Caenorhabditis elegans: one gene and its partner. The protein of the gene in region 1 purifies or fractionates together with the protein of each later gene. This does not show direct contact. Each region holds a gene or a part of one and is shown on either strand. Other genes may lie near its edges. The genes, in order: T25E12.6 and Y53G8AR.6.

The links.
Region 2: the proteins of T25E12.6 (region 1) and Y53G8AR.6 fractionate together in Caenorhabditis elegans (co-fractionation; one large-scale study listed by BioGRID). This does not show direct contact.

What each region holds. Positions count from the first base shown.
Region 1 is NC_003283.11:16,740,513-16,745,381, reverse strand, and holds T25E12.6 (DUF38 domain-containing protein), read right to left. Parts: upstream 2,960-4,869; 5' UTR 2,826-2,959; coding exon 2,294-2,825; intron 1,861-2,293; coding exon 1,646-1,860; intron 784-1,645; coding exon 574-783; 3' UTR 501-573; downstream 1-500. Other genes in the region: gyg-2 (glycogenin glucosyltransferase), read left to right, coding at 1-144; clec-39 (C-type lectin domain-containing protein), read right to left, coding at 3,794-4,179, 4,227-4,358, 4,404-4,548, 4,675-4,823.
Region 2 is NC_003281.10:3,292,861-3,297,848, forward strand, and holds Y53G8AR.6 (SAP domain-containing protein), read left to right. Parts: upstream 1-1,882; 5' UTR 1,883-1,891; coding exon 1,892-2,023; intron 2,024-2,145; coding exon 2,146-2,471; intron 2,472-3,426; coding exon 3,427-3,730; 3' UTR 3,731-4,388; downstream 4,389-4,988. Other genes in the region: Y53G8AR.8 (ATP synthase subunit s-like protein), read right to left, coding at 824-947, 1,036-1,201, 1,271-1,469; Y53G8AR.5 (RING-type domain-containing protein), read left to right, coding at 4,598-4,765.

The DNA of each region.
Region 1 (4,869 bases):
CCAAAGGTCGAGGATGATTCGGAAAAGCAGCGTATCGCCTGGGAGGCTGGACATCCGGATTATCTTGGAAAAGACGCTTTCAAGAATATCCAAAAAGCACTTGACGAGAGCATGGCCGCTGTGAAGCCACCGGCGAAACCCTAATTTTTCCATTAAATTGCCATAATGTATTTCTATAGTTTTCTAATAGTTCAGAGATTTATTCATATTGTGATCGCACTCGTATTCATGTACCATATCAATAGGAAAATAGAATAAATTCGCTATTTCCTATTTTTAAAGGACTTTTTAGGCGATATTCACGGAATTTTGGCTTCCTTCATAAATTGTAATGGAAGAGTTTGCCGAACAAGGCCATTTTGGCTCGGCCATATCTGGGGTAGATTTACGGCGAGTTGCGTGTCGCGTCGCGGCTCGAATTTAGTTGTAAAACTAAATGTATTTGTCCGTGTGGAGTGCACGCGTTGTCCGGCAGGTGATTGTCAATGAAGCGCGAAAAATTCAATGAGGAAGGGCTGAACCCCGTGGATATTTATTCACAAAAGATTAAATTTACAGATTGAAGATGACAAATTAAGCCTGACGAGTCTCCGATGTGAATCTGACTCCATTTTTTGTGACTTCTGCGTACAGGTTGTAGGTTCCGCTCTTCCACGTGTATCTTATAGTTTCAGGATCATTTTCGTGTGGAATTCCCATTGATCCCCACATGAAATCGAACAGCTCCGACACGTTTTGCACGCCGATTTCGTTGTCTTTTGGCGTTTTCTGGTTCAAGTATTTCTGAAAAATAGGATTCAAGCGAAAATCTTTGATCTACTGTGACGTTTTACGGGAACACAAAGTTGTGCGTATTGTGCAACACATTTGACGCACAAAATATCTCGTCGCGAAAACTACAGTAATCCTTTAAACGACTACTGTAGCACACATGTCGATTTACGGGTCCGATGTTAAAAATGATATTCAATTTTCTTTATTTTTCGTCATGTTTTGTAATTTTTTTTGTTTTCATTTAATATTTTATCGAATAAAAATTGAGCTCCGTAAATCGACACAAGCGCTACAGTAGTCATTTAAAAAGTTACTGTAGTTTTCGCGACGAGATATTTTGCGTGGAACATTACGCATTTTTCTGTTCCAGTTGTAACGTGGATAGAGATTTTGCTTCAAACAAACAAATCAAAAACAGTCTCCAATTCAGAAAATACACAAAAGAAAAGCGAAAAACTTTTCAATTTTGGCTGAATTTTCTGCTTGAATTCCCTCCAAAATAAGATTTTCGGATCAATCAGCGTCTGCGATCTCCGCCCACTTCATCTGATTGGATCAGAAGTGGGCGGAGCAAATTGTTCATTGGTCGCAGTTCTCGTTTTAGGGAACATTTAACCAATATTGAAAAATCTTGTTCTGCTAAGTCTAGGCGTAAGCATAAGCCAAAGCCTAACCCTAATCCTACGTCTAAGACTAAGACTAAGCGTAAGCCTAATCCCAAGCGTAAGTCTACGCCTAAGCCAAAGCCTAATATTTGCCTAAATCTAAGCCTAATAGTAAGCCTAAGCCAAGGCCTGATTTTTCCGAATTTTAGACTATTTTTGATTCGTTTGGATCGAAGCAACACAATAAAATTTAAAAAAAAACCCACCAAAACCAATAATATAACATCGATTTGCTTTAACTCAGGAATTCGAATTCTCAAACTCTCAAAGTGAGCGTGCGATTCAACTGGAAATGCAACTGGCTCGCCGGTCATTGTATTGAGCTCTTTCGCCTGCTTCCATTGCTCCGTGGTGATTATGTTATCGATGACTGTTGGTGACACGTACAGCGGGTTGAACAGGCAAATTCTTCGGAGATATCCTGAAAAAACTTTAATTTTTTTGAATAATATTTGATTTTGTAAGCAGATCTCTGGAGCTTGTGTGCCTTTAATGAGGGATTACGGTTTTTGTTATTACACATACGCGGAAAAAATACAGGAAAATTTCATAGCATAGTAGTGAAAGTTTAAAGTTACAGTACTCTTTAAAGGCGCACACCGTTTTGAAGTTAACAAAAATTGTCGTGGCGAGACCGGATACCGGGTTTTGGAAAATTGAAAATTTTAGCGTCTGGGTAATAATCAACATTCAAAAACGATGGATTTTCGAAATTACAGTAACCCCTTTTTAAAGGCGCACTACGAGTTTTGCACCATGTTCAAAGTATTTAAGCTCGCCGAGGCTGTTTACACTCATTTCGGTCCTTTTTTTGAGTTAAAATGTTATATTCAAATCGAAAGAAAGCAACTAACCTGGTTCAAAATACGGCAAAAGGCACATCACCTCCTCCTCCTTCCCATTGTACACAATCTTGAACACCTCCACTTCAAGCTTCTTCATCAATGCTCTCATCATTGCCTTGAGCATTTTAGTCAAACTAGCCGACCTTTCATCCCATTTCGCATGCTCCGTCTTGTTATTCTTGTCTCTCACAAAGTATTGATTCAGAATTCGATAGTAAAAGCAATCGACTTTGACACCTGGCTGGCGCAAAATCGAGTAGAGAGTTACAATGGCAATCGGTGCACTCGGGTACATCGAAGTGCATTCCTTTTTCTGAACGAGCACCCGATTCAATGAAATCTGTTCGATACAAGCTTCACCGGGGTACTCCTGGATTTCAACTTCGTAACGGTTACCGTCGTTTCCAATAAGCAAGATTTCCATACTATCAGTGTAGACATGCAGCTCAATGAGCTTGATGTGATTGTTCTTGAACTCGAAGACGAATGGCGTCGGCTCTGGAGCCTCTTCAGTTGGAGCATTGGGGGCAGTGGATTCCATTTTTAGAGTATAATATATAAGGCAAAAGAGAAGAAGGAGAATACAGAAATGAGTAGTAAACAGAAGAAACAACTGGCAGAAGAATGACGGTGGTAGTGGTTCACTAGCTAGTTGTAAGGTGGAACGCGCAATGTGCGCTATAAATCGATCGATGCGGGTCCTTGAAGAGCACGGTTATTGCACGGGAGACGTTACGTCATAAAAACGACATCTGGTTGGTACGCTGCATATGTACTCTACAGTGGCAGCTCATATATCGGTTCCTTGCAAAATGATGGGAAAGTGCTCAACTACCGAGGAAATGTTACAATGAAAAACACTGCCAATTTATTAAAATTCTCCCAAATGAAAAAAATCATTTTCCTAGATAATTTTTTGAACGAACATAGTAGAAAACCGCTATCTACTTTCAAAGCGCCTACCTGCCTGACTTCAAAACGAGCTCCACTTGCCTCACGCCTCAATACGTGGCTTATGCTAAACATATGTATGTGATTTTTTTTTTAATTTCTAAAATTGATTTTTAACAAAATGATAGAAATGAGTAGTGTCAAAATGCCGAAAAGAGGCAAAAGACCGGCGCCAGGCGAGTCAGGTTTCAGGCAGCCGTCATGCCCTGAAACCGCGCCTGCCTACCATGAAAGCCCTAGCAGTCAAGCTGAATAAATTAACTTGGCATATTTCAAAACACTCGGACGAAGAAAAAGAAACATTTTTTTTGGTCAACTTTCTCTGAAACTTTGTAAAATTAACTAATTGTCTTCCTAATTATTTTCCATATAAAAAAAAAAACATTGGAATCTACAATTGTTACTTAGAATTTCAAAAAATCGATATAAACTTCGCGTTTTTCAGTTGAAAACATTAGTTTTACAAATTCAAACTGTGACATCTTTAAAAACCGTTTTTTTTTAATTAAAAAAATACAATAATCGTCAAAAACAAAAAATCACCAAGAAAATCTTTATTCAAGTACACGAATTCTTGATTGATCGCTTACACAAAAATTTGCCCGTTTCCGTACAAAATCTAGTAAACCATTTTCCAACATTCTGCATTCCAGGTGCAACTGTCATATGAACACAAGTGGAATTATAGAAAAATTTCAAGTTGTTATAATTTGCCGGTGTACCATCAAGCCAATAAATAAAATCCTGGGCCGGTGCAAGTGCACCGATCAATATTTCGCCTATAAAATCGTAGATAGTCATGATGAAGCGGACTTCGTTCGCCGAGTGGATGGAGACCAGGTTTGCACATTTCTCAAGGCAAAAGTTCTGGGCCTGTGGGACTGTGAGATTCAAGTCAAAGCGGAGATAACATGACTTCTCGTAATTGTTCTTGCATCCATCTTCTGAAAATTATATTTTTTTGTAAAATATTGTAAAATATTAATCTTACTACCTTGAAAAGTTGCCGGAAGCTCGCAAACGAAGTTCATAACCTGACCGCATTGTTCGTTACCCCATTGCCCAGCTTCATCCCCAGAAGTTATGAAGTACACACAATTTCCATAGACAATATTTGGAAAACCTATGAATTTCTTTTGTTATGACGAATATTTAAAGTATCCCAAACCATCTGCAAAATTGCTATAATTCGCTGTTGATCCGTTTTCGATGTCCCATATGCATGAGATGGGTTCTCCAGCACTACACAGCAGACCCGACCACAGAAAATCAATGTCCTGGCCTTTTACAAAGTGTATCATTGCTCTGTTGTCCTGAAAGCGGGATCTAATTGGCTTATTATTTTTTCTTTTCCTGCCGGTCAAATCGCGGAAGGATTCGTAAATGAAAATTTGCCGAGCAAATCGAACACAGAACTACTTTTCAGTTTTGCAAGATACCTGTTCACTTTTTATGGAAAAAAGAGTGGCACCTCCATACCCATTACAAATTTTGTCGGCGTCTGGTCTTGCTTGATTTGAAGTTACCAGTTTCCAACACTTGTTGTTGACTAGGGTGAAGCCGTGCTGGCATGAGAAATCCGATGGGGCTGAAGACTTTAAAGGTGGAGTCTCGCCAGCAAGGAAAGTGTTTAA
Region 2 (4,988 bases), on another chromosome or scaffold:
GTTTTCGGGTATTTTTTAGCATTTAAAATGTGCATTTTCGAAAAACTAACAAAATCGAATTCCCCGCCTAATTTTAGCCCTAAACGCTTTTTTTCTGAAGTTATAGCGTAAAATTGGAATTTCCGGGGGTACTGTAGCTCCAAAAGTACGCAAACACCAGATCTGACGACAAAATGCAGAAAATTGGGAAAATCACGTTTTTTGGGGTGCAAAATGACGAGAAACTCGATTTTCCACTCAAAATTGTGCAAAAAACTTTAAAAATGGAGAAAAATAACAAAATTTTGAAAAAAAAAGAGAAATAATCCTTTTTCCGATTAATTTTTCTGAAAAATGATTCGAAAATCGAATTTCCTGCCAATTTCTACACCTGAAAGCTTTTTTCTGAAGTTTTAGCGCAAAATTGGAATGTCCGGGGGTACTGTAGCTCCAAAAGTACGCAAACACCGCAACACACCAGATCTGACGACAAACTGCGGAAAAATGAGAAAAACTAGCTTTTGGGGGGTGAAAAACGACGGGAAATCTGAATTTTAAACAGGAATCTCCCAAAAACTGACAATTTCACCAGAAAATTCACTTGTAGGAGTACGGTAGCCGCGAAAATACGCAAACACCAGATCTCACGACAAAATGCAGAAAATCCCGAAAAAACGGGTTTTCGGGGTGAAAAATGACGGGGAATTTGAATTTTAGGGTGGAAATTGTCTAGAAACCCAAGAAAAAAGTGAAAACCCGCAGAGAAACCGAGTTTTTTAGTATTTTTTCGGGGAAAACCCAATTTTTTCGCAATTTCCTCTTAGTTTTCTTTTTTTTAGCTCACATTCCACTTATCCTTCTTATACCAATTATCATCGCCGACAAACTTCACCGCCGCACCTCTGTGTACCAGAAAATGAGCCGCCGCCAGGTCGGGCCCGAGGAAAAGTAGTCTTTCGGGGATTACTCTGCAAAAAAATGGGGTTTTCAAGGTTTTAAATAGCATTTTTTAGGGTATTTTTCTTGAAAAATCAATAAAAATCAATAAAAAATCGCCTCTGATCATATTGCATATGCTGAAACTTTTTATATCTCCGATATCGTTTAATATTATCGATTGAATGATCTACGTAGCGCATTTGTGTGTGCCACGTCAGCAGCTCCATCGGCAACTGTCCAGTATCCTTCCGTGTCATGTCTGCTGGCGCTTTTTTGGGATTTACTGGAAAAAAACCAATTTTTTCCGGTAATTTTCAGTAAAAATCGATTTTTTTCCCAATTAACAACCCACAATCATCGGGTCTTTCCGGTGTAATATACAGTCCCGTCGGTAATCGAATAAAATTCTTATTCCTCTGCTTTTCCTGCACATTTTCCACATGTGCCGCCTGCATTTCCTGCCACCGCTTGAATCTCGACCATTTATGTACCCATCCGTTCGATTTTACACTTGTTCTGAAGCTTCGCGCGGTGCAATAGACCCGGTTCATGCTGAAAATGTCGAAAATTTCGAGAAAATCCGTGGAAAACTGATTATTTTGAGCAAATTTGAGCAAAAATGAAAAAAAAAGAATTATTTTTAAAGGCGCATAGGATTAAATGGGCTGTGGGTCTCGATGGGACCGGTGGAGAGAGTGTGTAAAGGAGAGAGACGCAGACATTGCAAATCTTTATTTTAAATTTATTAAACAAAAATTAATGATTTCGCTTGTTTTCGTGCGATTTTTTTGGTTTTTCTGTTGAAAAATGAATGAAAATTGCATTTTTTGGGTTAAAAATGTTGATTTTCAGCTAAAAATCCGCTAGAAACCGTCTAAAAACCTGTAAAGCCTACGCTATTGATTTTTTCGCGGGATTCTCCCAATTTTTCCCGCGTTTTCTTATTTAAAATTGTTCAAATTGCAGATAAAAAATGGTTCTTAGCGTCGCCGATGCCAAGAAATTGACAGTTCCACGTCTGAAGGAGGAACTCGCCAGCCGTGGGCTCGATAACACCGGAAACAAGCCGGAGCTGTTGGCAAGGCTCACAGAAAGCATTGAGCAGGTTGGAAAAGAAGGAAAATTTGGGAATTTTGATGAAAAAATAGCGAAAAATCCAAATTTTTTGGAAAAAAAGCAAAAAAAAAAATTTTTTCTTTTTTTAATTTAAATTTTTTAATTTTCCAGGCAGCCGACGAGCTTCTGGGCGACGCTGGAATCACATCTGACACTCATTTATTATCAGATGATATTCTAAATGATGATATTCTCGATGCTCCGAGTGTTGGAGACGAATCTGAAGCTGATAAGCTTCTGGGATCAGTTGACGGAGCAGAAGAGCACAAAACAGATAAATCCGAGGGAGAAGAGAAGCATGAAGTTCATTTAATTGATAAGAAAATCGATGAAGTTACTGCAGAAACTGATAAAAGAGCCCGTGCCATACGATTTGGGCTCCCCGTCACTGCTGAAGACCTCGGCTCGGATGGAGCTAAGGCTGCCAGGGCTAAGAGGTTGAAAATCTATCAATTTTTGGCTTAAAAATGCTGAAAAACGATGCATTTTGTGGAAAATCTGACGTGTTCAGCTTAAAAACTGGAAAAATGGGATTTTTGCCCTCAATTCTCACTAAAAATTATATTTTTAAAGTTTTTCGCACGAAAATTTGCTGTAAAATCCTTTTTTTTCACTCAAAAACTTGTAAATTCGCATTTTTACAAATTTTTCTCCCAAAAAACCTCTAAAACGCAATTTCCAGCCATATTTACACTAAAATTTTTAGAATTTTGAGATTTTTGAATTTCCCACTGATAAAAATGCCAAAAACTCCAATTTTAACTACAACAAACGTGAAAAATCCTAATTTTTCACTGTAAAAATGAAAAAAAAAAGAAAAAAAAATGCCAAAAATCCCGAGTTTTACTTAAAAAGCACTAAAAATCTTCATTTTTCACTGAAAAATGCCAAAAAATCTCAATTTTCACCTTAAAAACACCAAAAATCCTGATTTCCTGTATAAAAAATGCCAGAAAAATCCGATTTTCACCACAAAAAAGTCGAAAAATCTCATTTTTTCGCTTAAAAACCATCAAAAAGTCCAAAAAAATTTTCTATCAAAAATGCCTTAAATTACAAATTTTCCAACCTGAAATGCAATTTTTCACTTAAAAAGCCTAAATTTCTGACTCTGTAATACAAAAAATGCCAAAAAATCTCAATTTTCACCTAAAAACTCTCCAGAACCCCCGTTTTTCACTTAAAAACACCTAAATTTCTAACTTTCTGACCCAAAAATTGCCAAAAATCCCAAAAAAAAATCCCAATTTTCACCTAAAAACTCTCCAAAAACCCCGTTTTTCACTTAAAAACACCTAAATTTCTAACTTTCTGACCCAAAAATTGCCAAAAATCCCAAAAAAAATCCCAATTTTCACCTTAAAACTCCTCCAAAACCCAAATTTTTTGCAGATTTGATCTCCCAGAAGACTCAAAACGACTAACATCAAATGACGCGAAGGCTTCACGTGCTGAAAGATTCGGAATTACCCCAAAAACGCCTGCCGCTGATGATAAGCTGGCCGCCCGTGCCGCCCGTTTTGGAATTCCAGTTGGTGGAGCAGCTTCAGCTTCAGCTTCGAAAAATGCTCCAAATTCTGAGGGAAAAGCTGCAAAATTGGCTGCTCGAGCCAAACGATTCGGTGGTGAAATTGATGATGAGGAGATGGAAGCAAAGAAAAAAGCAAGAATGGAACGATTTGGAACATCTAATTAATTTTCTGATTTTTGTGCATTTTTTACTTTTTTTTTTTGGGAAAATTGAGAAAAAATGAGATTTTTGAGCTAAATTTTTGAATTTTTTGGCGAAAAATGAGCTGAAACCCAATTTTTTGCTGAAAAAACTGAAAAATTCTGTAAAAATTAACATTTTTGACCAAAGTACCCCAAGAAATTCAAAATTTCATTAAAATATATGAAAATTGCTGAGATTTTGCAACTTTCACTGAAAAATTTAAATTTTCCCCCAAAATTTTAGATTTTTATCGAAAAAAAATCGTTTTCCTCTCGAATTTGTGATTTTTCTAGAAAATTTCGACTCTGGCTAAATTTTGCGATTTTTCCGTCAAAATTTTAGATTTTTTGCCGAAAAAAAAATTAAATTTTAACGAAATTTGATTATTTTCTCGAGTTTTCCTTGAAAAAAATCACTTTTCCCTAATTTTCGTGAAAATTTATGAAAAAATCACTTTTTTCCCTAAAAAATTTCCCATTTTCCTCGATTTTCGTGTGTTTTTCCCCGAAAAAAATTATATTTTTTATTTATTTTTTCAATTTTTTAACCCAAAACTTGTTGTTTTATTCTTATTTTCCCTCTAACTTTTTGTTTTTTCCCAATTTCTCCATGAAAAATCTGGATTTCCAGTATAATTACAGCTTTTTTGTGTAATTTTTAGAGTTTTGAGTTTTTTGTTGTGTGATCGATCACATACCTGAAATTTTGGATTTTAAGCTGAATTTTTAGAACGAAAATTTGAAAAAATTGAGAATTTTCACTGAAAAACCACGAAAATTTTTGAATTTTTCACAAAAAATCAAATTTTTAGTGAAAAACTCGACTCTTTTCCCCAAATTTTCAGCCAAAATGGAGTCTGCAGACGGTGAAATTGAAGCCCTATGCAGTATTTGGGATGGAGTCCACGTGGAGTCCAAATTAGAAGCTTCTCGGCGATATTTAAAGCATAAAATTAAATCATTGGAAGATGAATCCACGTCTGCATCGGTTTTAATTGAAATGACCGTCTCTGAAGGGGTAAAAATTGGAGTTTTTTAGTGTTTTCGGGTGAAAAATTCAAATTCCCCGTCATTTTTCACCCCGAAAACCCGTTTTTTCGGGATTTTCTGCATTTTGTCGTGAGATCTGGTGTTTGCGTATTTTCGCGGCTACCGTACCCCTAAAAGTGAAGTTTCTGGTGAAATTGTCAGTTTTTGGGAAATTCCTGTTTAAAATTCAGATTTCCCGTCGTTTTTCACCC